3 linked regions of the Solanum lycopersicum genome follow. The protein of the gene in region 1 interacts with the protein of each later gene in a pairwise test. Links are inferred from orthologs where the notes say so. Each region holds a gene or a part of one and is shown in the gene's direction. Other genes may lie near its edges.

What was found.
Region 2: the proteins of protein SUPPRESSOR OF PHYA-105 1-like (region 1) and CRY2 interact in a two-hybrid assay, tested with the Arabidopsis thaliana proteins (4 studies listed by BioGRID, with this or other methods). The link is inferred for Solanum lycopersicum from reciprocal best matches to the Arabidopsis thaliana genes SPA1 and CRY2.
Region 3: the proteins of protein SUPPRESSOR OF PHYA-105 1-like (region 1) and CRY1A interact in a two-hybrid assay, tested with the Arabidopsis thaliana proteins (3 studies listed by BioGRID). The link is inferred for Solanum lycopersicum from reciprocal best matches to the Arabidopsis thaliana genes SPA1 and CRY1.

Annotation. Positions count from the first base shown.
Region 1 is NC_090809.1:4,264,859-4,275,179, forward strand, and holds the start of protein SUPPRESSOR OF PHYA-105 1-like, read left to right. Parts: upstream 1-3,431; 5' UTR 3,432-3,766; intron 3,767-4,997; 5' UTR 4,998-5,067; coding exon 5,068-6,417; intron 6,418-7,749; coding exon 7,750-7,907; intron 7,908-9,050; coding exon 9,051-9,888; intron 9,889-10,159; coding exon 10,160-10,306; intron 10,307-10,321. UniProt on the Arabidopsis thaliana protein: Controls normal photoperiodic flowering and regulates circadian rhythms. Required for suppression of photomorphogenesis in dark-grown seedlings and for normal elongation growth of adult plants.
Region 2 is NC_090808.1:67,119,314-67,129,703, reverse strand, and holds CRY2 (cryptochrome 2), read left to right. Parts: upstream 1-5,023; 5' UTR 5,024-5,155; coding exon 5,156-5,468; intron 5,469-6,083; coding exon 6,084-6,305; intron 6,306-6,420; coding exon 6,421-7,127; intron 7,128-7,502; coding exon 7,503-8,168; 3' UTR 8,169-8,187; intron 8,188-8,324; exon of another isoform or gene 8,325-8,368; 3' UTR 8,369-8,683; downstream 8,684-10,390. Other genes in the region: actin-depolymerizing factor, read left to right, coding at 466-731, 2,348-2,498; phosphoenolpyruvate carboxylase kinase 1, read left to right, coding at 9,864-10,226.
Region 3 is NC_090803.1:61,978,722-61,988,851, forward strand, and holds CRY1A (cryptochrome 1), read left to right. Parts: upstream 1-4,298; 5' UTR 4,299-4,644; coding exon 4,645-4,957; intron 4,958-5,571; coding exon 5,572-5,790; intron 5,791-6,351; coding exon 6,352-7,058; intron 7,059-7,656; coding exon 7,657-8,453; coding exon of another isoform or gene 8,454-8,457; intron 8,458-8,907; coding exon 8,908-8,911; 3' UTR 8,912-9,378; downstream 9,379-10,130.

The DNA of each region.
Region 1 (10,321 bases):
GTATATTGAATGTATGAGTATGTAAGAAAAAATAAATGTATAAATAACTGAACTGATAAGATTGAAAAAATATTCACCGCAACTCAACTCCAATACAAAAGAAATCATAAGAGATGGAATGTTTAGAACTTCATAAAAATACAATGTATTAACTCAAGAGTGTATAAAAAGTACAATAAATTACTCTGTACTCTTATTTGTGAGATTCTCTAACGAACAACTATTACTATGAGTTAATCATGACACAACGTCTCACCCACGCTTCCAAAATTGTCCTATACCTTGTTGGAGTATAGAACACCTCAACTAAGTGGATCCACTTAGTTATAAGGATTCATTATAAAGTATGATATTTTACCAATGTTATCATACATGGTTTATGAGGATTTTGACTTTTGAGTTGTCTGAACTCATCCTCATATTATTGTTCAATACTACTCCCAGTAATATACATACTCATGCTCAATTTTGTAAAACATACTCTTTCTCTAGTTTGAGATAGTTGCTCAAACTCTCTTCTTTAAAGAGGATACCACTCTAAAATATCTTGAAACTCATAAAATCATTTAGAAATCAAAGTTTTTCTTTTCTCAAAATAATACTCTCTTACTTCATGTAAAATTTAAACAATTGAGAATACTTAGTTACCCTATACTCTTTCTCAAACTCCTCTTTACTTTCTTAAAAACTCAGCTTAAACTATAAAAATTGACTTTAAAAGATTGTCAAAATTTCTAACTCGAAATAGTGTTCATGCTAATTAATATAGACATGAACGAATCAACTCAAAGATCTCAACAACAAAATGGAAAACCAATAGTCGAAATAAAATTTAAAAAACAATCAGGAAATCTAGAACTCAAAATCAACTCATCTTTGCTTTCTCAGAAATTAGGTTAAGATTATTATTGTGTAAAAGATTCTAAATAAAAGCTCTCAAACTTCTCTCTTAAACTCACTCTAGTTTTGAATATATATTAAGATATGTGATTAAGATATGCAAGAATTTTTTCACAGGTAAATGAAGCCTATAGAGCTAATACAAAGAAGGAAAACGTGGACCCAACTTAGAGGAACACGTATGGATGAAATAAGGAAAGATTGATCCAAAAATCCTTGGCATATTGTTGGCGCAATGTGCTAGACCCTTAAATTCAGAAGTCAGGCCTTGGCACTGCTAGCGCATCTCCCCAGGCTTGAACTTCATAAATCAGGCCTTTGCACACTACTGGTGCGTCGCCCCAGGGCTTGAACATCAAAAGTGAGGCCTTGATGCAATGCTGACACGTTGCCCCATGGTTTAAACTTCAGAAGTTCAGCCTTAACACTATCATGGCCCAGGCCCTTCCCTAGTACCCCGACAAATTGTCAAGCTTAAATTAGGACCCCGACTTAGTTTAGAATTGAAAAAATTCTCCTATACTCTTCTTGATTCTCAAACCCAACACGGACATGAAAAGTTTCATATGATCCCTTTAGAAACATAAATTTATCAAATCAATAGGCTTAATGTGATACTAAGCATGAACAATACAATAATATTCACAAAATAGAAGAATAAAAAAGTCTCAATTATTGAATAATCGAACTCAATATAAAAATTGCGAATAGATTCTTTTGATGTGACAATTTCTTGACTAAATTGAGATGTAGCGTGAGGGCTAACAAGTCCAACACTTTGAGACGCCTTACATACCTATAAAGAACAATGGTTCTGTCAACGGGACTTTTTTGGCCAAAATCGTTGCACCTGTAGCGATATTCTTTAAAAAAAATAGTGTAGTGATTTTACTCTTTTGGTTAAAAAAATATTAATGTACCCTTTTGGAATTTTTATCAAATTTTTTTTGCCCTTTAGGCTTCGGACTCAACAATCTTCTCACATTGAACTTGCATTTATGCTTCATATGACTTAGAAGACAAACCAACATTGTTATTTTGAGCCATTTGTTGGTCAACTTGGTTGGTAAATATATTTGATTAAAAATAATGAATTTGGTGAATATAAATGGTAAAATATAAATTGATTTGAAATAATAATAAATTTTATGTTAGTGAAAATACTCATTATTTGAGATATAAATGATTTTAAAAGTAATGATATGCATTACACATTTTATTTACATATGCAATAAATGGTTAGCAGATATATATATCGGGTTGTTTATATAAAATATAAACTCATGGTCAATTTTGGTATTTCGAAAATCTCAAATCATGATTTGAAATTTCAAAATCATGATTTTAAAGGCCCATTTGGTCATACCATATAAATTCATGATTTGAAATCATTATATGAAATTATGAGATGAAGTTGAAATTTTGTTAGGACATACAATTTTGACTTTTTATGTTTTATGTTTTCTCATAAATATAAAAACTCCGTAAATAGTAAAAGTATAAAAAATTATCCCCAATTATTTATATAATCTTACCAAATAAACAAAACTTATAAAATCGCGTAATACATTATTACAAAATTATTCTTAAAGAAGAACAATATTTATTTATTAAACCTTAATTCAACAAAAAATAAAATTGAACATAAATTATAGTGTTCAAATTGTTAGTAGCTAAGAAAATTTTTTTTACAATTAATCCCAGCATGGTTAGTCTTATCCACTCAATATAATGGTGATTATTTGTTATTATTAAACATTGATTTGAATGAAGTAGTAATAAATTTGATTAAAAAATAATGATTTGGGGAACATAAACGTTAAATTAAGAATTGTTTTGAAGAATAAATTTGTATTGACGAGAATAATTTGTATATGAGATATAAAAGGTTTAAAAAATAATGATATGAATTAGAAATTTTGTTTACAGATGAAACAAATGGGTATAAAATAAATGTGAGTTATTTTTACAAAATAAAAACTCGCGAATTAATATTTTTATTTAAAATTCCTAAAAATTATGACTTTTAAGAAATTAGAGATTTCATTTTACTAAATCATAAAATAAAATCAGCATAAAATTACGTGTCCGAAAACACTGCCATGTGATGAAAACACATGGCTAAAGCGCCCCAAACGCCTACCAAGTTTTGCGGGTAATTGTAATTTAAAACTATTTTTATGGATATATGGTAGTTTAGTTTGTGTTTGGGATTTTTTTTGGGTATCTATAATAAATTTATAAAATAATCGTGAAAAATAAAAAATAAGTTTAACTATCAGAATAATAAAATGCAAATTATTTTCTGAATATAAAAGTTTAAAAAAATACGAACTCGCAATCTTCGTATTGAAAGTGAGGATTACTTATCATCAGAACAACTCCATTTTGTCAACAAAAAAAAATACGTATTAAAAGTAAAATATACCACTAGATGAACAATTTTTTTTTAAAATAAAAAAATAACATATTTTTTTTTATTTCGTTAGAGGATAAAGGTATATAAGCACAGAGAAGTAAATGAATCACTTTCATAAGAGGTTTTGTTTTTTCTTTTTTTTCAAATTTTATAAATTAATGGCCAAACAGCCCTTTAACAAAGCACAATTCCGGCGAAAACAATATCTGAATTGCTCCACTTTTCACAGACATCATTTGGCGAAAACAATTTTTTTTTTCCAAGTGGGGTGACTGACTGATTCATAAATCATCATATCTATAGAGTAAATTAATGCACAAATAATTGCACAGTTGGGGTGTTGAACAAATGAAAAGTATTGTTTTTTTTTTCAGAATCTTGAATAGTGATGAGTGAGCTAGACAGATTCTTGGAGAGACTACCCTTTTTTCCCCATTTCAGTTTCAGGTTAGTCTTTTGATTTCTTTATGTGTCTGTGATTTAAGATTTGGTAAAAAAAATTGAACTTTTTTTAGTTTGTTTTTAAGTCTTGGATTTCTTTGTTTGGTTATAGTGTTTTCACCTTATTGAGTTTGTTTTTCCCAAACTGTGATTATATCATAATTGCGTTATTCTTGATTTTGGTTTCATGCTGAAATGAAAATCTATGATTACTTTTATCCCTTTTATCAATTATGTTTGTTAGGTTGTGGTTATGAAATAGCCTCCTAGGTAAGGGTAACTTGCCTACATCCTACGCGATCTCCAGACCCCACAAACTGTCACGATCCAATGTTCTCGGGTCATGATGGCACCTACTACACTGCACCAGTAAGTAAGCTTAACCCTTAGCCCGAAGCGATAAGCAATGGACTAGGCGACTAGCAAGTGGAAGCCAACAACAAGAAGTAAGAGCTTAGAACAAAGTAGAGAAAGGATAATCAACAAAAACAATACAGGAACCATCCCAAGTCCTGCCATCAGTTAGTTGAGCATCTAATCCAAAATAGGAGTACAAGGCTTTCACAAATACAAGACAAGTACAGACTAATCTCTGAATACAATATAAAGACTAAGCCTAGCAAAACATATGGAAACCGGTAGCTCTAGACGCCAGGAGCTCACCCTAATCTCTGAAACTCCGAGCTGCTCCGCACGACTCTAAATCAACGGCGATAACTCAACTGCAATCTATAGGGGGCAGAAGTGTAGTATGAGTACCCTGAATGTGTTGTGGATTTACTTTTAATACATGAGCATTCATAGAAAGTCTAAGTAATCGAAGCTAGGATAGTTCTTTATTATGAACATATGATATTTTTCTCTCTCTTCTTTGGTAGTGCTATTATTGATATGTTCAATACTGTATTTACTTTGCATATTTGTTATTTATATGCTTTACTTGAGCCGAAGGTCTATTAGAAACAATCTCCCTATCTTCAGAATATAGGAGTAAGGTTGTGTACACCCCACCCTCCGCTAGACACCACTTGTCGGATCACATTGAGTATTTTGTTGTAAATCTTAGTTCTGGAAGACGTGCTTCGACCAACTTGACTAGGTGAAGGAGGAAAGATTTTGAGAGATTTTTTTACTCCCTTCTTCCTTAGTACCTCGAAATTCCACATGCTTAGTATAAAAAAACGAAGTTAAAGACGTAGAAATCTGTCTAACTACAAAGTACTTTGTTTTATTTCAGCTAGTCCTTCAAGGGGTAAACATAGGTGAATGCAGCTGGTTATTTAATTGAAAGAGTCCTTTGGAATGATATGGACAAGTCAAAGGAGGAAGCAGATGCAAATGATGTAGGTGCGAATGTGCTATCTAGAACGAGGGAGTGTGATTCTGGTGAACCATCAATGGGGAAGTGTACATCTACCAGTCATGAGTTGCCAGAGGGATCAACTTCTGCCAGTTCAGGGATGTTGGAGAGTGATGGAATGAACAGAAATGTAACGTCCATGAAGGGGCCTCAGCTCCACGGTACAAGCTCTTACTCATTGAATAGTTCAAGGCTCACTCTTGAAAAGTTGTGTAGTTACAAAATTTCTGAGCCAGCTTCTCTTAGATGCTCCAATAGTCAAAAAACCATTCAGAAACCACAAATTCAGTGGCAACGTTTCTATCAATTGGGGTCTGGCTCTAGAAGTTTGAAGGGAGATGGAGATCCTTCATCCACGGACAAGGCTGTTCAGCAATTAAGTTCCAAGGAGTTGCCAAGAATAAATTTACTTGCGCTGAAAATGCTGAAGCAAGCATCCGACAAAGATATCAAAGGAGGCTCTAATGCAGAGTCTTCCCAATCAACAGAAGACCATAACCTAATTATTCCAAGAAATAGATTACTTCCGGGAAGTAGTCAATCAAAACTTTTATCCACTTCTAGCTTTTCTCATTTTTTTGCTAACCGATCTCTTAAAACCAAAGATGTTTTACCAAAAGGACCTGCACTTCATAAAGAAGTTCATATTGCCTCTACTCTGCAGAATAAGAATGACTTCGAGCAAGCCTCCACAGGAATGGTATCATCTGATGTTTTTTTAAAGCAAGGTGCTAATTCTAATCAAGCATCTTTCAGTCGTAGCGATCACCAAAGACCCACTTCAACTTACAATGGATTTACCTTGAGAGAGTGGTTAAACTCGACGGGATCACAGATAAACAAAGCTGAGAGGATTCACATATTCCGGCAGATTGTGAAGTTAATTGATATTGCTCACTCTGAAGGAAATGCATTCCAGGATATACGGCCTTCCTGTTTCATTTTACTGTCACCTAATGGTGTTAAATATATTGGTTCATCTGTCCAGATAGACTCCATGTATGCTGTGAGCCGGAATACTAATGGGAAAAGGCCATCCGACATGGAAATGCATGCTAATAGTAACTTGGGTATAAAGCTACAGAAGGTCAATGTGGACGTGGGCTTGATTAGACAGCAGCCTGAAAGCAATGCTCGTTCTTGTTCTCGTGATGAAGGCACATCATTTCAGGCAGGGTGTCTACTGGAGTCTGATATTAATCAATTAGAAAAGAAGTGGTACACTTGTCCTGAAGAACTCCATCACGAAAGCCTAGCATCGTCTAATATCTACAGTCTCGGGGTTCTTTTCTTTGAGGTGGGTAATCAATTGCTGGGTTCATAATCATTTTACTTTAAACCACTGACAAATTCTCTTCCTTTTTCCTTCTGCTCATTTGTCTCTCCTCTTAGACACGAACTTAGGTTCAGTTTGCACCAGTCCGATCCATATTAAGCAAGAGTCACAATATAATATTAATCACATTTAAATAGATGGTGGACAATGAGGAGGGAATGAAACACTAGATATTTTGAAGATATGGAAAATACAATCCAACAAATCAAGTTTTATTGTATACTTTTGTTCTGTTTTTGGTATACGGAGGAGTTTTAAATGATGCAAAATCAATTCTTAGATGTTGAATTTATGTTGAAGCAGATTTTAAGATGATCTCAAATGTTGGTGTAACTAAAATAAACACATTCACTGTTGTTTAGAAAGAAAGGAACTGATGTTTTGAAAGATAAAAGCCAACTCATTCCAACAGATCAAGTTTAACTTTGAACTTCTATTTTCTTTTTAGTCTAAGAAGAATTTTTAAATGAAGCAGAATCCATATTTAGCCTCTTAAAATTTCTATAAGATTGGTAAGTGATTTTTCTTTTGCTTTGTGCTCACCTATACACACTTCGGCACCGACTAAGTGCTGCTTGTGTAATACAATTACCTTCCTCACCAAAAAGAAGAAGATACATACATCCCAAACAAAAGAAGAAAGAGAACACCAAAAAAAGAAGGGAAGTTTTTCTGATGAATCACATACTCTGTCTCCCTGTAGCACTTCCCTGATTTTGCTTCTTGAGCTTTTAAGAAACTGAATTAAAATCAATATAATTAAGATTTATTGAATCATATGCTTTTATGAAACTTTTGCTGACCCACTCGACTGGATCTTCGTACTAGATTCCAGTCTGGATATGCTTGTCTTTTTTAAATAGATTTTGAAATTTATCCCTCAGATGCTCCATTGCTCTCTCAGATTGTTGAATATGGAGAAGGCAGGTGAGGGAACCTCCCAAATCTTTTCCAAGGAGCCTGTTGTTCTTCTCTAGAATTTGATGAACAGTCATTAATGCAATGAATCGGTGTTGCATATGCTCAATTCTTTTAGCATTGAGTATATATCTTGATTTCAGCTGCACCCCTTATCTGTTCTCCTTTGTGGCTTCTTTTGTTAATTTTCAATATTTCTTATTTTAACTCTGGGGAAATAATTGTAGCTGTACACAATCTGGCTAAGTTAATGATTTTTTCGTTGTGATTCTATTATATTGGGTGTGGGAACTGATGTTTTGTTTCACAATGCACTTTGCCAAAGGGCTGAGATAAATTATCTTTACTCTTACTAATTCATGTTGTTTCTTTTAGTTGCTCTGCTGTTTCGAATCACCTGCAGCACATTCCACAGCCATGTTGAATTTGCAAAGTCGCATTCTCCCTCCAAATTTCCTTTGTCAAAATCCCAAGGAAGTTGGCTTTTGCTTTTTGCTGCTTCATCCTGTGCCTTCTTCTCGTCCAACAACAAGGTATTGTTATGTTTCCAATTTGTTGTGCAATATTATTTTCTGCTATTTGGGGCTTTTCTGAAAAAGTCAATGTTGACATACCTGTAAGACAGCCAGCAATACGGTATCCTAAAATAGGGTATATGGAAAACATTCTGATGCTCTGAGTGAATGCAATGCATTTTAAGTTGTTGGCAATCACAGAGTCCTCGTAGTTTGATATTGTTGTAACTATTATGCTATTTTCCGTTTCGGGTTAGAAACTGGTTGTGTTCGAGAGTGACTTCTCGATAATAAATAGAGATGGTGGAGTTCTTTGGGGCTTGAGGCATCTTAGCCACTTCTCTTGTCACCTTGTTACATGCTCCCTATGTTCCAGTTTATGTGACCCTGTGTCCTTCCTAGTCTATTAAAAAAAGAATGACCTCTATCTAAATATGCAAACAATTTAACTTAAATTTCTCATTTTAGCCTTAGTGACACAATTTTATATTCACACAAATGTTATGGCATGTTTAAGAACACAAGTTTCTAAAGTCTTATAACCAAACAAATGTTATGACCCAAAGTTTCAAAAGTCATCCCTTTTTTTCCGTGCCCTTCACATAAATTGAAACAAAGGGAGTAGGAGATATCACGCCCCACTAGGTTAGAGCTGGTACTCTAATAACATCATTTTAGCATGGAATGAGTTTGATGTTATTCGTATAATGTGTTCATAATCTCAAGTTGTGTACTGTCTAATCCTGCTGTCATCTCTATGGGAACTTGCATATGCAGTAAATGCACCTTGCTCCCTGCCAAGCTTTAAGATTTAGTATAACCATTTTTGGGTCTTAAGTGGGATAGCTTTTAGACATGGAAGAGTTGCATTTCTTTGATGGTGGAACTAAATAGCAAACTGTCCGCCACTCATCAGAATTGAGGGAAAAGACATTTTCTGAAATTGGTTATTGTTCTTTAATAGTTAGTATGACTTCCAGCCTGCAATTTGTCCTTTTGATCAATAGATATTTCACTTTTGTGCTGTAAACCTTCTAGCTTTGTCGTACTGAGTTTTAACTTCTCTAATTGCTAGAAGCTCAGGCACAGTAAATTTGTAAATATCCTCAAGTTAATTTGTTTGATGTGTAATCACATTCACAATACAACTTATCTTTGTAGGGAAATCCTACAGTCTGAATTAATTATTGGAGCTGAAGAAGTATGTAAAATAGATGGTGTCCCATCATTCATTGAGAAGGATGATGACCCTGATTCAGACGTCTTGCTCTATTTCCTAGTTTCACTGCAGGAGGAAAAACAGAATGATACCTCCAAGTTATTACAAAGAATAGAGTGCCTAGAGGCTGATATCAAGGATGTTGAGAAAAGGGAGGTCCTTAGACATTCAGATTGGGTGGAAACTGACTTCAATAATATGCGGCAAGGATCCTACTTAAAACATCTCAATTCCGCTGACTCTATTTCTAGATCGTTTTCAATTCCAAATATGCGCAATGAAAAGCTGATGAAGAATATTTCTCAGCTTGAAAGTGCATACTTCTGCATGAGGTCCCAAATCCAACTTGCAGAAAATGATACAATAGGTCGAACAGACACGGATTTGTTGACGAGTCGTGACAGATTGTTCCAGGTTTCAGCAAAAGAGGCAGAGCCAATTTTAAAATCTGTTGATCGTGTTGGAGCCTTCTTTGAAGGTATTTGTAAATATGCTCGCTACTGCAAGTTTGAGGAATATGGGACATTAAGAAATGGTGATCTTCTCAACTCTATAAACGTGATCTGCTCCCTCTGTTTTGATTATGAAGAGGACTATATAGCTGCAGCTGGTGTCTCAAAGAAAATTAAAATCTTTGAATTTGCTTCACTTTTGAATGAATCTGCGGATCTTCAATATCCTGTGGCTGAGATGTCAAACATATCTAAGCTTAGCTGTGTTTCGTGGAATAAATATATGAGAAACTATCTGGCTTCAACTGACTATGATGGCGTAGTCAAGGTGTGTACTTGTTTGGCTTAACTTGGTAAAGAGTTTTGAATCTTCATGAGCTATGGCAATATTTTTATGTCTTTCCCATTATCTGACTAGCCTATAAATACTCTAGGCATTATCTTCCATACGAGAATGTAAGAGAATAATCTCCTAGCTAGTAAGTGCTTTAAATATCACAATAAAGGTTATATCAGCTACCTAACACGTGCTTGCTGTTGAAGTTGAGTATTTCATTCATCTTGTTGACTAGGTCTTGGTGTATAATTTTTGAATCTAGATGTGGGATGCAAGCACAGGTCAAGAATTTTCACAACATACAGAGCACCAGAAGAGGGCTTGGTCTGTTGATTTTTCTCAAGTGAATCCAACAAAGTTTGCCACTGGAAGTGATGATTGTTCTGTAAAAGTGTGGAATATTAATGAGGTACTTTATCGTATC
Region 2 (10,390 bases), on another chromosome or scaffold:
GAGGTGGTGATTAGAGATCTATTTAGTTGCGAGGAGTTGGTGTTGGTGTTGGAAGTCCATAGTTCATAATGGAAACCAGTTGATGACCGTGGTGTCCTGACCATCCAAGGGATACCTTTATACCTACCACCGGCAACAAGTACTAGGTAACTCCGTCCACCAAGGCTAGGATAGATAGGAAGAATCACCTAGTGTTTTTTTTTTGTTTGAACTTGAGATCTGTGGGCTCTCAACCACTTCATTGACCTTTGGGTGCGATTCTTCCGTATTTAGAGACTTCATTCTTTAATTTTCTTCATTTGACTTCTGGAGGGATTTGATGAAACGAAATTCAGTAGAGGGCCAGTGTGTTATATATATGTGTTTCATCTTTCTAACCGTACAAACTACTCAGTACAATTTTTGTTCCATTATGCCTGTGGTTCTCTTTAGAGCAAATTTATTGAACATGTGTTATGCTTCTAGACAAATGCATCCTCTGGCATGGGGGTTGCTGATCAAAGCAAAGCTACTTATATGGAACTGCAAAGGAAGAAGGTGCATCGATATGTGATATTTATGATTGATGAGAAGAAAAATGAGGTTGTGGTTGAGAAAACTGGAGGTCCAGCTGAGAGCTATGATGATTTCACTGCAGCTCTTCCTGAGAATGACTGCCGATATGCAGTATACGATTATGACTTCGTGACATCTGACAACTGCCAAAAGAGCAAAATTTTCTTCTTTGCCTGGTAAGTTATAATTCCATCTTGAACTTGCATAACTGGATTTTTATCAAAGAGATGCGTGCACCTTATATTCTAGATAGTTAAGACTCTTTATGATTTCATATGCTTAAACTGTCCTCTGTGAATGATGCTGCATTATTCAGCAGTCTAGAACAGGGACTCCATTTTCCAAAAGAAAACACGGGAGGAGTATTGGCTAGCTGTTTTATCATAACTTCAGTCTATATGTGCGGGGGGAATTTTTGCTCTCATTTATGAATGTTGGTTCTAAATTATTTACAATGCTGTCAAGTCACCACATTAATGAATTTCATAGAGCAGGCACATTCGGATTTACAAGTATCAAGCTTTAGTGTCAAACCAATTGAGTGAGTGATATGCGAGTAATGTGGAATAGTGGATGGATAGTTTTTCTCCTTTATGGAATATAACTAGCCAATGACGATGTCAATTGCAATTATTATGGTAGCATTCTCAGGGAGTGTCTGTGATGGCTGAAACAATTGAGTTAATCGTAGAGAGAGTAAGAGGTCAGGAGACCATTTGTGTTATTATGTATGTGGCTTAGGTTTGCAAGAAGGACACTTTTGTGAAGTAAAGTCGACAGCTGTTGTGGTCAGATACCTGAGGTACTCGTGAAGTGAACGTCAATGTCTTGAGAAAATGTTATAGTACTGAGAAAGCGAGAATAGCCATATGAGTAGAACTTGCATGCACATATTGTGAAAAGGTGGAAAACTGACCAGCAAAGGAATTGCTGATGCTACGAGTAACCATATCTTTTTAGAGAATACTTTGCAGTCGAGACAAATCGAGGTGAAGAATAGTTGGGTTCAGGGTCTTTAAGAATTCATTTTTCCTATAACTAGAGTGTGTTGTTTTGTGCCTAGCATATCATTGTAAGAAATTTTTTTCTAGAGGTTTGTTAGGTATGCATCACTCTTTCTGCAGTGAACTTTAAGACCCTGCATAATTATATTTAGAAGTTTTAGGAGGATGAAGAAATTCCCCATGTATTGGGTAGACTATACGGCAGTGTTTTGAGTTAATGATAATTTTGTGACAAAAGTTCTTGTGATAAGGTCTGAAGATTTATGGAAATTATCCTTCGCGTTATGGGGATTGCGGAGTGATTATATTTCCGTCAGTAGAAGAGACTAATTCTTTGGCTAATTTTGGATTTTCATTCGAGTCTTGGCATGTGTCTAAGGATTGTTCTATATTGGTTTTGGGTTAGACCAAGTTCCATTTGAAGTTATTTATTTATCTACTTTAGTTCTTTTAATATCCCGTCTGTTGTGTACTCGCAATACATCCTTTCGAGAATATGAAATTTTCTCCCTTCTTAGATCCGTGAAGCAGTGTTGTATCTAAAATAATAAATTCTTATCTTCTTATTGCATATTAAAGTCCTTGGCCCTTCTTCTCCTCGACAAGACAAACTAAAACATAACAAGAAAACACGACGGAAATGAAGGGATGTCTTCAGTAGGAAAATGTTGTTCAAAAGTAGTGCATTTTTGGAGAGTTCGAACAACATTGAATTTTTACTTTGGGAAATCATTTCATCGGATTAGTTTAATTATGAAAGAAGTGATATTCTAATCCATCCTTTTCAGGTCTCCATCTGTTTCCCGAATCCGATCGAAGATGCTGTATGCGACATCTAAGGACAGGTTCAGGAGGGAGCTGCAAGGCATACACTATGAGATTCAAGCTACTGACCCTACTGAAGTAGAACTTGAAGTGCTCAAAGAACGCGCTTACTGATTGATCAAACATCCTACTATGAAACAACCATTCATAATATTTCTGTGTAATCGCGTCTTACAAGACTCGATCTACTTAACTATGACATAAATAACTCGATGCTTGGGTTGCTGATTACCGGACGACTCATGATAGTTAGTATATCATGTTTTCTGGTTATGAGCTCGCTCATTCTCATGATGCTTCCTAGTCGAGAAACGAGTATGGTGTTCTGTATGTGAATGGTTATCAACTTCTCTATGTCTACGCAATGAATATTATGTGTTATTAGTATCTGACTGATAAATTTCTGTTGTTCTTTTCCTGTCTATCTGTTTGGGAGATGGTTAAATAGATCTTTAGTTGAACCTACAGCGCGTTTTTTGGTCGCTTATACAAGCCATGTACTGCGAAGATTCACCATAAATTGACTAGTTTATGCTTTATTTATCAAGATATTAGATTGTCGTTAACATAAATTTTTAAATCGTAGTTTAAAAGGTCTATATGTTATATTGTTGCGAGAGAAATATAAGGAGGGCACTCATACAACAATTATTGTAACAAAATCAACAGGCAAAAATCTGAACTACATAAAGCAAAATAAATTGGTAAGATTATGTACAACATGTCTGGAAATTAATTGTGTAATGATGGCAACAGTATTGTTTTCTCTAAATATAAAAAAACTACTGTTTTGCTATTATTAGAGGGACTTGGTTTTAGTGAAAATATTATAAATTAAGGGGCTAACTTCCAAAAGAAAATTATGTTAGCATTTGACTTTCATTTTCCCATGTGTAAATAGCTCAATCTTATCTACTTAGATTATCATAAAATCATAATTTTCTGTGATATAATTATATGAAAAAGTCGAAGTTGATCCTGATATGATTAGTGATTACTGATTTATCGTATGGTAAGATATCAAAAAATTATTTTAAAACATTGAGTTGATTTGATATTATAATAATATTATATTTTAAAAATTAAAAATAAATTTATTTATCGTATCATATCTATCTCTAGATTCTTCGAAACACATCTGATATGAAATTGGATGGAAAATATTTTCAATCATGCACTTACGTACACATCACAATGTTGTCATTTAGAATACTTATGTCATAAGACAATAATTATATTAAAAAAAAGAATGTCATAGTAGAAAAGCAAAAGAATTGACTTTTAAATGAACTTATTTCTATATGAATTTGAACACAAATTGTATCTAGATATAAATTAAATAAACTTGTAAAACACCAAATTTTGCATAAATTTGATTTTCTACAACTTCAAATTATTCCTTCAAACATAAAAAGATGCAAAGTAGTACTCTCAAATATGTATTCTCATGTAGTATGCAAAAATGCATAGGAGTTTAAGGTATAATTTCTCATGAGCAAAATCATGAGAATATAATAAACAGAACTTTTTTAAGATTCTTTTATTAGGATTTAGAGAATACCATACTTTAAAAGATGTGATATACATAATATATCTTTATAATCAATAGTATATATTTTTATGATTCGAATCAGTAACATTTATGTGACACGAAAATAACTCTACCATTACTTCAAAGACTTCCTAAAAAAAAGTAGGCATAAATCTTGATGGTAGATACTATAATTAGTATGAAATCAAATCTTAAAAGTTTTGTATAAAGTTGAATATTTTACTAAGCTATTAATCATATGATATTTTATTTTATTTTTCATTTTGCTGTTATTGGTCTTGTGGTGGTCCTGCAGATTACATTTTTTAGGATTATTATTCTTCTAAAGAGCTGCTGCCTTTGGACTCTTGTCTTTGAGGCCATTCCACTTGATCACATGAAGTCTAATCTTTTACTACTTACTATCTTTTTCCCTTTTTTGCATCTCACAAGATTTTAATACTCCATGTGGGATGTTCCCTAATGTTGTTCTTGGATTTTGTCTTATCTGATCTATACTATCTTGGTTAAACACAATCTTGATACTAAATTTCAGTAGTAAATCTCTTATTGGTTCTCTTATGACATTTTCTGGTGGAATTATTGGTATGGGTGAGATTGATCTTTGATTTCTTGAGTATTAGTGGTGGTTTTCTTTACTTGGGGTTTTAAAAAAGTATGATTTTTCACTAAGTTTGATGGTTTTCTTGGGAATATGATGAGAAATTGGAGTGAGTTTTGAGTAAAGATTGGATTTTTATGATGTTATGAGATTTGGAGTGAAGATATTTGTTGGGGTTTGAAAATTTTTTGTGAAATTGATCTTGGTTTTTGGCAAAATATGATTTTTAACTAAGTATGCTAGTTTTCTTGGGGATATGATGAAAAGTTGGACTGAATTTTGAGTAAAGATTGGATTTTTATGATGTTTTGAGCTTTGGGGTGAGCTGAAGTGAAGTTGTTTCTTGGGGATTGTTTGGATTTGTCCAACTTTGTGAGAATCTTGGTTTCTTGAGTATTAGTATTGGTTGGTTTTAGTTGGGGTTTGATAAGATAGGATTTTAAACTTAAGTATGCTAGTTTTTTTGGGAATATGATGAGAATTTGGACTAAGTTTTGAGCAAAGATTGAATTTTTATCATATTTTGAGATTTGGAGTGAAGAGTTGAAGTGAAGTATTTGTTGGGGGTTGTTTGGTTTTGTCCATTTTGTGGGATCTGTGGAAACTGACTAGTTGGAAATGGAGAGCAATTACAAGACAATTGTGTGGTTTAGGAGGGATTTGAGGATTGAGGATAATCCAGCTTTAGCTGCTGCTGCTAGAAATGGAAGTGTTTTACCGGTGTTTATTTGGTGTCCGAAGGAAGAAGGGCAATTTTATCCCGGTAGAGTTTCAAGATGGTGGCTGAAGCAATCTCTGATTCACTTGAAACAGTCTTTGAAATCTCTTGGGGCTGAACTTGTGTTGATGAAAGCTCAGAGTACACTTTCTGCTCTCACGGAGTGTGTCGATGCTGTTGGAGCAACAAAAGTTGTGTATAATCATCTATATGGTTTGTAATAACTTTCCTTTGGCCTTCACTGTTTGAGTTACTGTTCTATATCTCTGGAGAAAGTGTCGTGTTATTGCTAATATGTGTTGTCAGCTAATGTTATGGATCTAACTGTCCTAATAAACAAGCTCCAATTAGCTTTATTTCTTGTTCTTGTTAGCGTGGTAGAATATACAACAACACACCTAATGTAATCCCACAAGGGAGGTCTGGTAGCGTGATATAATATGGAAGACTATAAATAGAGGGTCAATACACCGCTTATATGTTCATACAAACATATACGTATGTATGTGTGTGTTTGTGTGAAATTTGAAGTATATATGGCTATAGATATTCGGTATTGATCTGATGTTCTGGTATCAATAGTGATACGTCTTATCTTTGCTATAACACATGCTGCACCGTTTAGTTTTAATAGAATTGTATAGAGTTCACTTGGTATATTTTCAACCAAACAAACATAAGATCATTCGAAGTTTATTGCATAACTCATAGAACCTTTCTAAAATGAATTCCTAGTAGGCCAAATGGTACTTGAATATTTGAGTTCCATGTGCCCGGTATCTGATTTTGAGGAAGTACTTACATGATCAATTTTCGGGTTTGATTTAGATCCTGTTTCACTTGTTCGTGACCACAATATCAAGCAAAAGTTGGGGGATCTTGGCATATCTGTTCAGAGCTACAACGGGGACTTACTGAATGAACCATGGGAAGTTTACGATGATGATGGCAAAGTTTTTACAACTTTTGATGCATACTGGGAGAAGTCATTAAGTATACAGAACGAACCTGTTTCACAACTTCCTCCTTGGAGATTAACTCAAGCTGCAGGTACGTTTGAGACCCCGTAACCTCCTGGTCAAATGACAACAATTTTACTAGTTACGCCAATGATCCCATTCTTGTTTTACATTAACTTGATGATTTTCATTTCTCTCATTGACAGGATCAGTTAAAATGTGTTCAGTTGAGGAGTTGGGACTGGAAAACGAGTCAGAAAAATCTAGTAATGCATTACTAGGGAAAGGATGGGCACCAGGTTGGAGCAATGCAGACAAGGCCTTAACCGAATTTGTAGAGAGCAATCTACTCGCGTACTCAAAGGATAGGTTGAGAGTCGGGGGAAATTCTACATCCCTTTTGTCTCCTTATCTCCACTTTGGAGAAGTAAGTGTGAGGAAAGTTTTCAATAGTGTACGCTTGAAGCAGATACTTTGGACCAAAGAAGGGAACTCTGTTGGAAAAGACAGTGCTACTATTTACCTTAGAGCTATTGGACTGCGAGAGTATTCTCGTTATATCTGTTTTAATTTCCCATTTACTCATGAAAGGTCGTTACTGAACAACCTGAGGTTTTTCCCTTGGAATGCTGATCAAGCCCATTTTAAGGCTTGGCGACAGGGACGGACTGGTTATCCATTAGTCGATGCAGGAATGAGGGAGCTTTGGGCAACGGGATGGGTTCATAATAAAATAAGAGTGATTGTGTCAAGTTTCTTTGTCAAGTTTTTACTTCTGCCATGGCAATGGGGGATGAAATACTTCTGGGACACACTCTTGGACGCGGATTTAGAAAGTGACATAATTGGTTGGCAATACATCTCTGGTAGCTTGCCCGATGGTCATGAACTTGAGCGCCTCGATAACCCAGAGGTATGTTATGTTGCTGATGTAAATGTCATAGTAGATGATGTTTCTTGCCATGGCTTTGTTTTTTCTATTATTTTTATGGCACAACCACAATAGAAGTTACGAGTTCAGCAGAATCCAATAGCTTTGACTAAACTCTATGTTCAATTGTTCATAAACTTTAAATCCTGGATCCGCCTCTATCAAGAGACTGCATAATCATGCCAAACTTAAGAAAACATACTTTTCTACTAGACATTTTCGACTCTATTTATGAAGGACTTTTATCGATATGGAGAAAGAAAACTCTTGCATACCTAGTAAAAAGCATGATGTATTCTCGGGACATTTAGTTGATGAGTCGCGAGCTTATTTAAGTTTCATCAACTCTTCATGCAGGTTCAAGGATTCAATTATGATCCGGAGGGCGAATATGTGAGACATTGGCTACCTGAGCTAGCAAGAATGCCGGCTGAGTGGATCCATCATCCTTGGGATGCACCACTTAATGTGCTCAAAGCTGCAGGGGTGGAACTCGGAATGAATTATCCGAACCCCATAATTGATGTAGATGTTGCGAGGGATCGTTTAATGCAAGCTATAATTATCATGAGAGAAAAAGAAGCAGCTGTGAATACTTCACATGCAAATGGAACTGTTGAAGTTGTGTTTGATAACTCGGAAAATGTTGGAGATTCAGCCAGTATTCCAAAGGACGACGTTGTAAAGGGAAAGGAGCCTTGCCCGAGCAGTTCATCTTATGATCAAAGGGTGCCATCAATGCAAAATGTAGGCACTTATAGAAAGAGACCAAAGCCCGAAGAGGAAACAAAGAAGCTCAATGATAACAAGCTTAGCTACAAGAACGAAAGGATCAAAATGTCAAACGTGGACGGTGACTTGTGCTCTACTGCAGAATCCTCTTCTATGAAAAAACAGATGACCGTCAGCAGAAACTCATTCTCTGTACCTCGAACAATTACCATGTCTCACGACAGAAAATCCTTTGATGACGAAGCATCATCACATGTGAAGCTACAAAAGGAAGAAGAGATTGACACATAAATCAACTCGTGCAAAAATGGTAAGACGCAAACACCCTAAGCTTGAGTTTTCGTTGTCTAATTTATGTTTCCATTCAAAACAGGAGAGCGTAGCTACATAAATATACTTGCATTTTTTCAAAATTCACTTCAATCACTCGTCTCGTCTCTGTTCCAGTTTCAATCATCATGACCGGACCCTGTCTTCTTCTCTATTTGCAGAAGCTACAACGCGATGATTCCCTCACCATCTCCAAACATCTGATAGTTGAATCAACATATGCAGTGGAATGACGATATCCTGTTGAACATTTCTTCGTGTATATATAACTTTTTCTTAATCGTAGCAAGGTTTGTAGTTTGTTTAACATAGTACGCGATAGAACTCATCGTGAAGCAGCTCAGATTCATGGTTTAATCTCTGCTTTGTTTAGTTACATATATAGACCATGCATATGTAATCTTGAATATGATTTGCTTTTTCTTGTATTTTCATAGTAATAAAAGATGAAAATAGGTCATCTAGTTTTGAGAAAATGATAACATATCCTACATTTTGGGTATAAATCGTTGGATTCGGAGCCTAAATGGTACAAAATATTAACAAAAATTCTAAAATGGTATATAAAATTTTATATTAATCAAAACGGTAAAATCGCTGGAACAACAGCGATTTACTCTACCGAAAACCTAACAACTATTTTAGACCCCAAATATAGTTCTTAACATGGACTTGTTTTCTCCAAATATGTTTTGTTTCTTTATTTTGGAAAGAAAGTTGTTTTATGCATTCCATAATTTTTGTTTCTTAATGATTCAAAGAAGAATTTGAAGTAATACTTTTGGTTTGTGATTGTACTTTGTTTATTACTTACAATTACTTCCTTTATCTTATTACAATTACTTGCTTTTATTTTGAAATAATTACATGTATTTTGCTTTTAAAAAGTTTCATTTGATTGTTTTTTATTTCTCAAGAAAATTAAAAATAAAAAACATTGTACTATGTTTATGCTTTTGTTCGAGAATTTGTTATTTTCTCTCCTCACTTTTACTTGTTTTGGACGTTACACACTATTTAAGAAATAATTATATACTCTTCTTAGTTATAGTAAAACTGGTCAAATTTTGACTTAACACATTTATCAAGAAAATAATATTATTGATATAACGAATTTACTATTTTATCTCTATTAATTACTCCCTCCGTCCTATATTGTTTGTCATGATTTTTATTTTTAGAGTCAAACTATAAAAACTTCGACTAACATTTTAAGATGTATTTTTTCATCATATTAATATGCAAAAAATTGTAATTTACAGTAATTTTCATATAGTTTTAGAACATTTAATTTTTTTTGTTTAAAATATCGAATCAATATGATCTAATTTACCTTTGAAAATTAATCAAATTGACTTTTGATAAGCGCAATATGACAAACAATTTCGAACGGAGGAAGTAATGGAATTCTAAATATATCTATTCAATTCATTTTCTTAAAAAGATTAACAACTCAATATTAATAAACTAGGAAAAATTATGAAATATTTGCTATTCATTATGTGTACAAATAATAATGGAAAAAAGTATATAAAAAAAAAAGGCAGATGGCTAATTTTGATTGGTCAGAAAAGATTCCAAAAGAATATTCCACTCTCAGTACTGGGGTACTATATAAGTCCATCAGAAACAGAAATTTGAGTGTTTACGCAAACGATGAAGACAGAAAACGTTATGAGCGAGGAACTGAGGCGAGATTATCGTGTGTGTGAGGAAATAGGGAGAGGACGATTCGGCGTCGTTTTCAAGTGTTACTCGCCGGAAACCGGCCAGAATTTCGCCGTGAAATCTATCAACAAGCTTCTCATCGCCGATGACTCAATCGACCGTCAATGCCTCTACAACGAAGCTAAGATCATGCATTTGGTTTCCCCTAATCCTCACATCGTTAGTATCGCCGATGTCTGTGAAGACGATACGTACCTCGATATCGTTCTCGAGCTCTGCAACTCCTCAGATCTCTTCCAACGACTCTCTACTCAACGACTGTTGTCCGAGTCTGATGCCATTGCAGTCATGGTACTCGTACTCTTTCAGTAGGGGAAAATGATCTGTGAATTTTAGTGCATTTGTGTTTTTGTAGATTCAAATTAAATGATTTTTACTAATATTTCTAAAATGTAGTACTAATTTGTCTAATTGATGATTATAGCAAATTGATAATTTTTGGATCAACTGTTTGT
Region 3 (10,130 bases), on another chromosome or scaffold:
AAATGTCCAATATTTTGACGATTAGAATAAAAAATAATATCAAATGATAACAAAGAATAAAGTCTTCTATTCTACGTAGTTTAAAAATATTTTTACATCTTTTTCGATTAAAACTAAAATATTATATTTATTTATCTTCTCACTCCATATATCATCATATATAATTTGCAATTTCTCATGTAACTCTTATTGTATATTTTTTTTTATCTTCTCATTCCATATATCATCACAATTTGCAATTTCTCATACACCTATTATTTTTAGTTTTCCATTGCTAATAAAAATGTGACTAAAATATGTAAACAAAGCATATGTGCTGGCTCTTTTTTGAAGAAGTCTGGTATGAGTGAGTGTCACACTCACATCACTGGTTTGCCTCAAAGATGGAAAAATTATTAATAGCACTTACATATATGGTAATAGCCTAATAGGGACTGGGAGACAGTTCCATACGTACATGTCAACTCACAAAAAGAACCACCTTAATTATTAGTCGAGTCAATTCCTAAATGGTCGTTCAAGTTAAAAGAATTGTCTTAAAATATCATTTATGTTTCATTTAAAATCAAAATATCACTCAACTATCACTAATTTGCAATTTCTCATATACCTAATATTTAGGAAATTGACTCATTATTAGTGCAAATCACATTCTGATCACTTATTGCTATTAGGATATTATAGGCTATTAGGCAGAGTAAGGATTTTCATTTTTGCAAGTTTTAAATTTTATAATGATAATTTTAAGTGTTAATTAGTGTCATTTTAAACTTAGTGTGTACTCTGTGTGAAAAAAGTTATTTTTTAATTTTGTCGTGTTTGATTGGTTTAAATGTTTTTCAAGTTCACTAAATTTCTTTCAATTTAATGAGAATGACTTTTTATAAAAAGTATGGAAAACATTTTTCTTCCAACATTACTATCCGACCTCAACTCGGGACCCGATTCCTAACCTTAATTTGAATTTCAACTCTTGATTAGGGATCCGACTTGATACATGATCCCAACATAGGACTCAACTATCGCCCCCAACCATACACATGATTGAACTCCTCACCCTCTTTTCCAAGACCTGACTCATGATCTCGATTTGGAAAAAGACTCCAAACCTTGACTCGAACCCCTCAACCCCTTTTCAGGACCTAACTCATGATCACGATTTGGAAAAAGACTCCAAAGTCTAACTTAAGATCTAATTTACGATCATGATATTGGGACCCTCCGACATGTCCCCAACCCTAAATCAAACCAAAACCTGAATATCTCGTGACTTGGCTCCTGACCTCAACCTGAGACTCTACTCCTGACTCCAACCCTAACTCGAGATCCAACCTAGGTCCCTCCTTCTAACCTTAACCCATACAAGAGATTAGACTTCCAACCCCGATTCAAGATCCAAAATTTGACCATGACTCCAATTAGGAACAATACTCCCAATCCTAACCGTAAAATCGATCTTGACCCTAATATCATAACCTTGACTCGGCCCAAGATCAAACCCCGAACCCCACCTCAATATTAGGATCTGATTATATATTGACTCTAATTTGAGACCCTAGCTACTCCTAAGTCCAACCTCAATTCCCGACCCCCCGATCCAATATGAATCATGACCCTGATAAAAATTCATTATCAGACTCCCGACCTTGACCCAACCCAAGACCAGAATCCTAACCTCGACCTTGAACTTATCTGATCAAACAAAATATAATTAAATTTTATCTCAAACTTACTGTCTGTTTGGATGGGCTATTAAGTTGTCAGTTTTTAACTTGTGAGAGTAAGAACAACCTAAAATAAGTTTGAACTTAAAATTAGGGTGACCCCTACTTTTTTTCAACTTAAAAATCATTCTACTTTGACCAAGTAGATTACTTTTTTACCCTTATTTCTTTTAAGCAATTCTCAAATTCTTTCGTGTGATGTATTCAAATTACTATATATTTTTTGAGATTTAAAATAAATTGCACATTTAAAATTAACTTAAGTATTAAGTTATTGAAATTGAATTAAAATATAAAATAATTTTATTTTAATTTTTCTTTTATTTCTTAGATTAATCAACTTTTTATTATGTTAACAGTTTTAAGGGCATTGCATATGTTTTGAATAAAAAAAAGTTTTTAACAACACTTATTTGTCTTACACATCAAAAACTTTTTTTCAACTGCAATTATTCAAACACATAACTATTTATTTTTAAAATAATTTTCCGCACTTTCAAAAAGTTACCTTTTTAAACCAATCCAAACAAATTCTTAGTCTTGAATATCCTATTTTATCTCATCGAACTTTGATATTATTTTATCCCATTTCTAAACTGTAATAAATTAATATCCAAAGATTATAGTCCTCATCAAACTTGATGTTATTTTATTCCATTTTTTAGGTGGAAAAAATCAATAGAAAGACTATAATTCCACAATAATTTAGTACGCAAACCAAAAGAAAACTTACACGTATAGAGTTGTATTCTTAACATTCTTTAGGAGTAGTAAACAAAAGAAAACATTGCTATTGTTGCACCTCTCTTTACAGCAATGAGAATTAACTCCCAGTACTTACGTATATCGCTCGTTTGGTACGAGAGATAAGCATAAATAGTTTTGGGATAAAAAAAGTTATGAAATAAAATTTAAATATCTTGTTTGATTAATATTTTTGGGGTAACTTATCCCATCATTTATCATATAGTGATATAATAAATTATCCCAAAATAACTAATCCCAAAAAAATTATTTTGAAATAACTAATTTTCAATCAAACGGCACGATTTATGATAGAAGTAGGTAACAACATAATTTGCTCAAGAGAAAGTGACATGTACTCCTGTCCCCTAGTGTCATGTAATTTGCACATTTAAATAGGTTTGCAGCAGTAAATATATGTGCCCTTTTAATTTCAATTATACTAGTGGTAAGTAACCTTCTATATAGGAGTACCATTTCGCTGTCGGTGGTGGAATAAGAAATTTCACGAAGGGTGTCTAGGTGCTAAAGTAAAAAAAAAGTTGCTATTAGTTAGATTCGAACGAATAATCACTTTTTAAGCTCACGAGCCTTTACTCTTTTAAGACATCTAAAATTACTAGGCTACATCATGATGTTGTGTCAAGGATATCCAAAATATGTTATTTAGTCACTTTGTTTATCATTTTATTTATATATACAGTATATTTTTCCGATAAGAGTGTCCAATTGACACCTTGACATAAGAGTGGCTACGCTACTGCCCGCTACGAAGCGCTTCCCCCTCTCTTACACCCTAAATAGACCATATGCTACTTGAATTTATCATAATCGAACTCTAATAAAGATCTCATTTAGTTGGCGAGAGTTTGATTTCTGAGGAACTCTCTTCTCATCTCACCTACCCTCTTACTGAAAATTAACCATAAGAGGAGCATACAAGAGCATGTGAAAATATGAGTAAAGTTAGGGGTGGTGGGGGTGCCTACATTACAAGTGACTTTAAATAGCAACACAGATGAATGAATGAGAATCTAATACCTCCATTCATGAAAAAGGCCCACACACCCTTTAGAAAAATACCAAATCCAAATTAGTCACCACTCTATACTCTATCCCTTCTCTTACCCATGCTTCATGTCCCCTTCCAACTTCCCATTTTTCTCTTACACAATCCCAACTTGGTCGGAAAAACTAAATTAAAATAATATTATAAAATTGTCCAAACACTATATATTATAATGGGGGTAACAAAATTTGTTGTCTAGAATCAGATTCTACCAAAAAAGGTTAAGTGAATCAAACTTTGCCCCCTTTTACCTGTATAAAAGCTGGCAAAACTTTGATATATCATTAGGCAAAAGTGTATATATGTTAACAAACATAGACCTTTATTAAACCGTCGATTTTCTCTAACAAATAAAGAATATTTTTGGTTCGATAAACTTAAATAGTGTTATTTTTGAAAGATGGTAAAATATTTTAGTGCACTTTAATAGTGTCATTTCATTTCTTGATGTCACATTGTGTAATAAAAAACATGAGCTACTCAAATCACATTCAATTTGCAATGATTCAAGAAAATCAAACATTTAATTTTTTGACTTTATTATACCTAAGAAAGCTAATGTTGAATTTAACAAGAATTTTCCACCCTGTCATCAAAGAGAGAGAGAGAGGGGATTAGAGAAGGCACTAGAGATAGAGGCTTGGTGGAATTTTGTTTCCTTCTTAGGATAAGAAAGAAAGAAAGATATAAAAATAAAATCTTGAAAAAACATAAAGTTGTGGATGCAAATCTCCCATAAGTTCTCATGTTACCCCACCACCATAACCAATCACCCTCAATCTCACTTTCTCCTCCCTCTTTCTCTGGAGAGGTTTGTTTTTTTGGGTGGACAATGCCTATAGTAACTTCACAAGAATAGCATCTCATCATTCATCAAAGAATAACATTTGGGGTTTGTTAAAGTTAGGTTCTTTACTAGAATTTGCCTAAAAAAAATCATCTTTGTAATCTTTATCTCCTCAGTGAAAGCTACAGGGAACAGTCAAAGTATAGATAAGATTAACCCCAATATACTTCTGTCTAAGAAAGACTCAATAACATGGTGTTTACATAGTAAGAGAGAAAAATAGAGAGAAAAAGACTAGTCTTTGGTGTTGTTGAAGGAAGATGTCAGGTGGTGGTTGTAGCATAGTATGGTTTAGAAGGGATCTGAGAGTGGAAGATAACCCTGCTTTGGCTGCTGGAGTTAGAGCAGGGGCAGTTATTGCTGTGTTTATTTATGCTCCTGAAGAAGAAGGGCATTATTATCCTGGTAGAGTTTCAAGATGGTGGCTTAAGCAGAGTTTGGCTCATCTTGATTCATCTTTGAAGAGTCTTGGAACCTCCCTTATTACAAAGAGATCTACTGATAGTATTTCTTCTCTTCTTGAAGTTGTTAAATCTACTGGTGCTACTCAGCTCTTCTTCAATCATTTGTATGGTTAGTACTTGTTTCCATTTTTTTCTGTGGTTTTCTTGCTTCTTTAAATAAAAGATAGAGCACCACTGTTTTACTTCCTTTTTTTGGCTTTCCTTTGTAATCATTTTGTTTGATTTGATTATTCTTAATGTTGTTTCAAAAGTTATTAGTACTATATTGTTGGGATGGCTTAATTGGGATTGGTGCTTCCTATATGTCCTTTTAAGAATAAGATATTGAGTTGTCTTCTGGTAAACATAATAAATTATTAGCATGTGTCTTCCTCATATAACTAAAGAATTTTAAGTGCAATACTTTTTGCTATGCTCAATCCTCAGTGCTTGTAGCATTCTCTGGCTACTAATTTGTTTAGTGCCTGAATTAGAACTACAGTAATCTGGATTTGTTGTACTAAACATATTCCATATCCTTATTATTTGATTAATAGAAGCAGAAAGGGTGTTGCTTGACATTTGATCTGATCATGGTTGAATGGATAATTGCTAATAGATATGCATGGCTTTTATTTTAAGCATCTCTTTACAGTACAAGGATTTATAAGATGCATAGTTTTGCTCAGCCAATTTCATCCACTACCTTATCCTGACCAACACCTTTGACTTCTTTGGCTTTAGATCCTATTTCACTTGTGAGAGATCATCGCACAAAAGAAATCTTAACAGCTCAAGGTATATCAGTGCGTTCCTTTAATGCTGATTTGCTCTATGAACCATGGGAAGTTAATGACGATGAAGGTCGCCCGTTCACAACATTTTCTGCTTTTTGGGAGAAATGCCTTAGCATGCCTTATGATCCAGAAGCTCCACTTCTTCCTCCCAAAAGGATTATATCTGGTTTGTTCTCATCTGAGCTTCTCCATATCTTGTTGGCTTTCTGGATAAATTTCTATTATTTTTTGTACATATTTTTGTAACATAAGGTGCTTAGGGTAGAAGGTTAGTAGGGCATGAAGGGTCTTTCAGAAACAACCTCTCTACCTCCACAATGTAGGGGTAATATCCGCGTATATTCTACCGCCGCTTGTAGGATTATACTGGGTATGTTGTTGTCGTGCTTGGCTTAGTGTTACGTTCCACCAATGATGCACACAAATTAGGAGATCTCCCTCCAGGTAATAGATATATTAATTGTCAGATAAAAATAATGTCATTGCACCGTAATGAACGTGTTGCTACACTTTAAGCTCGGAGATCACTACATGGTGTATAATGTGAATGTTGCAGGTATTCAAGTCCTTCAAAAGTGGAAAGGTGATAATGAACATTTAGATGTTTGAGCTGTCACTAACAAGCTAAGGGCTAAAACAAATTCCTAGGATGGTGTTAATGTACTTATAGGAGCACTGGTTTAGATTTTAATTTAGTTTTTACATGGATTCATGTGCAAACTTTCAGGTGATGCATCAAGATGCCCTTCAGACAACTTGGTATTTGAAGATGAATCAGAGAAAGGAAGCAATGCACTTCTTGCTCGGGCATGGTCACCTGGCTGGAGTAATGCTGATAAAGCACTAACTACTTTCGTTAATGGACCATTACTTGAGTACTCGCAGAACCGTCGGAAAGCTGATAGTGCAACAACATCCTTTCTATCTCCACATTTACATTTTGGGGAAGTCAGTGTTCGTAAGGTATTCCATTTTGTTCGCATCAAGCAAGTTCTCTGGGCCAATGAAGGAAATAAAGCTGGTGAAGAGAGTGTTAATTTGTTCCTTAAGTCCATTGGGCTGAGGGAGTACTCAAGATACATGAGTTTTAATCATCCTTATAGCCATGAAAGGCCCCTTCTTGGTCACCTAAGGTACTTCCCATGGGTAGTGGATGAAGGCTACTTTAAGGCATGGAGACAAGGTAGAACAGGTTATCCTTTGGTTGATGCTGGTATGAGAGAGTTATGGGCAACTGGTTGGCTTCATGATCGTATCCGAGTCGTGGTATCTAGTTTCTTTGTGAAGGTTCTGCAGCTTCCATGGAGGTGGGGGATGAAGTATTTTTGGGACACATTGTTAGATGCAGATCTTGAGAGTGATGCTCTTGGTTGGCAATATATCTCTGGTACCCTACCTGATGGTCGTGAGCTTGATCGGATTGATAATCCACAGGTATGTTAGGGTAATCTTTGATGAGAATCTCTTCTTTCAATTGGAATTTTTCATAACTTCATAGTTGAAATTCCTTTTCTTCTATTTCTCTAACATAGTAGAGTTGCTGGAACACCAATTATAGACTACTACCGTAATTTTTTTTAATAACTTTACGACTATTCTACACTTCGAATGGTTATAGCCTTCCATGTTGCGGTAAGTGTTATTTTCAGATTGTAAGTTAGTTTCCAGGCACTGACTTGCTAGTAGACATTGCATGAACATCTCATGGGCCTCAATCTTCTTACAGAAAGTGCTAAAGCTTAAGATGGAATGTGTGTGTGAATGCCTAATTGCAAATTCTGCTTCTTTTATATCCTGAGATATTACTTATTAGTACAGTGACTGTGAGCTTCTTTTGGTATTAAATTGATATGCGAGTCTTTTCAATACAAGAAACCCTTCCTTCTGTTTCTCTTGTTTTTTCATGTAAAACAAAAGTGAGGCTGCAGATTTTGCTATATATATCCCTTTTTCCGTTTCTGTTCTTGTTTCTTCATGTGAATTTTCTTGGTAAAGGCTGAATAGTTATTTGAACCTGTTCTCTTTCTGGCAGTTTGTGGGATACAAGTGTGACCCTCATGGGGAATATGTCCGGCGGTGGCTTCCTGAACTTGCTAGGCTGCCCACCGAATGGATACACCATCCATGGAATGCACCAGAATCTGTGCTTGAAGCTGCTGGCATTGAGCTGGGTTCCAATTATCCTCTTCCTATAGTTGAAATTGATTCAGCAAAAGTTAGACTAGAACAAGCCCTATCACAAATGTGGCAGAATGATGCAGCTGCAAGAGCTGCGATTGAGAATGGTATGGAAGAAGGACATGGTGACTCTGCTGACTCCCCAATAGCATTTCCTCAGGCCATGCATATGGAAATGGACCATGAACCAGTCAGGAACAACCCTGTAATAGTTACTGTTCGACGCTATGAAGATCAAATGGTGCCAAGCATGACGTCATCTTTGTTCAGAGCTGAAGATGAAGAGAACTCCGTGGACATTAGGAATTCAGTTGTGGAAAGTAGGGCAGAAGTTCCAACAGACATCAATGTAGCTGAAGTTCATAGGAGAGACACGCGTGACCAAGCCGTCATGCAAACTGCTCGAACCAATGCTACCCCACATTTTAATTTTGCGGTAGGTAGGAGGAATTCTGAAGATTCAACAGCAGAATCTTCCAGTAGTACTAGAGAAAGGGATGGGGGTGTAGTGCCTACATGGTCTCCCTCAAGTAGTAACTATTCGGACCAATATGTTGGTGATGATAATGGTATTGGGACCAGTTCATCTTACTTGCAAAGGCATCCACAATCTCACCAGCTAATGAACTGGCAGCGGCTTTCTCAAACAGGGTAAGCTACGTGAGTTTCTTGAATAATCAGTAGAAGAAGACATTCATCCAAAAGAGATGAAAACTAGGAAATGGACAAATTTGAACATTCCAGTTTGAATATAAGCATTAGTGTTGCATCTAGCACAAACAAACATGACTACTCATGAATGGCACTAGTCACAGATTCACGGATAACATTTCTCATGTCCTTCATATTTCCTGTATGTCATGGTTAGCTGGTGAAAAAGCATTGCAAATTGCATAAAATTTTAGGCCAGTGAGAAGTCCTACATGAAAAGTCTGATTTAAACAAACGCAAGCAAATATGAATTGTGCTTCCTTTAAACTAACTGCAGACACATCTGTATACAAATATGGTGCATATTTCCATTTTTAAGGCCTTAGGCTCAAGACGACCACCTTGAAATTTCCAGGAAATGTCTTATCCTTTGGCTTGTTTAACTTGCTTACAGGTGATCATTTATGTGGAGTTACGATAGCAACAAGGCGGAGAAGCAAGTGGCTAATACAGACATTTGGCTCAGCACATTTAGTACAGCATTCATCTACTCTTTCTCTCATAGTCCTGACCTGATCAGCCATCTTTGTGTCTATATCTCTAATTGATCAGGTGGTTCGTCTGGATTTTCATCCTCATCTGTCGGGCATCCCCATTTACCTATTATACCATATATGTGTCTCTGCTGTATAGTATAGAAGTTTTTCATAAGGCCAAATAAGTGTTAGAAAGAGGTTGCAGTCCTCTGTCAAGCTCACACTTGTGCCTTTTGTTTTTCCTTCTCTTTTCTGCTACTTACATTTTGATGGCAATAACGATTATCTGAAGTCCTGGAACTAATTAGATTTTTGTGGATATCATAGTTTCAAACTCTGTTTGACGGATGTACATGTGGTTTAAGCAGCTTCATCTCATATTTTTGTTATGGGAACATTGTCATTATTCTATAAGATTTCTAGTTTGAACATTTTCATTGTTCTGCTTGGCAGTTGTGTCTGTTCAGCTGAAAGCTGTAAGTTGAGTTGTTAACATTCCCTGTTTGGTCTTGTGTGTGCGTGTTTGTGTGTGTATCTTATCAATGCATCAGAAGATATTCGGGTACTCGAACGAGCAGTTCTTATAGTAAGTTGTGTTACACTAGAACAAGAGAGACTCTTCTATGTTTTGGACAGAAATCCAACATCATTTGCAACTTCAGCTAGTCCTTATTGTTGTTGAACATGCATTAGTAAAGTGTTTAGCCAGAAACACCAAAAAAAGAAAAAAAAAACATTTCAGTTGAGTGGAAATGATGAGTTTACATGAAAAATATAAGTAATCTGAAATTTGAAGCACGACTCTCTATCATCACAAGCAATATCTAAGATGACAGATACTAACTGAAAGCTTTCAAAATCAGAAGTTGGAATATGATTTGTTTCAGTTGAACATATAAACGGAACCATGGTGAAGTGTTCATACTAGACTCTTTTGGTTCAAGTTTTTAATACACTTAAAGCACATCTTATCAAGTATATATATGTTAGATAGAATATGTCATATTTTTAAATTATACATATCAATTTTAACTGAAACATATCTATTAGCTTAACTACCTAATAGATACTTGATAAGATAGGTACAAGTTTATTAAGAGTTTGAATGAAAGTATTTAATAGAAACAAATTATAATTTAAA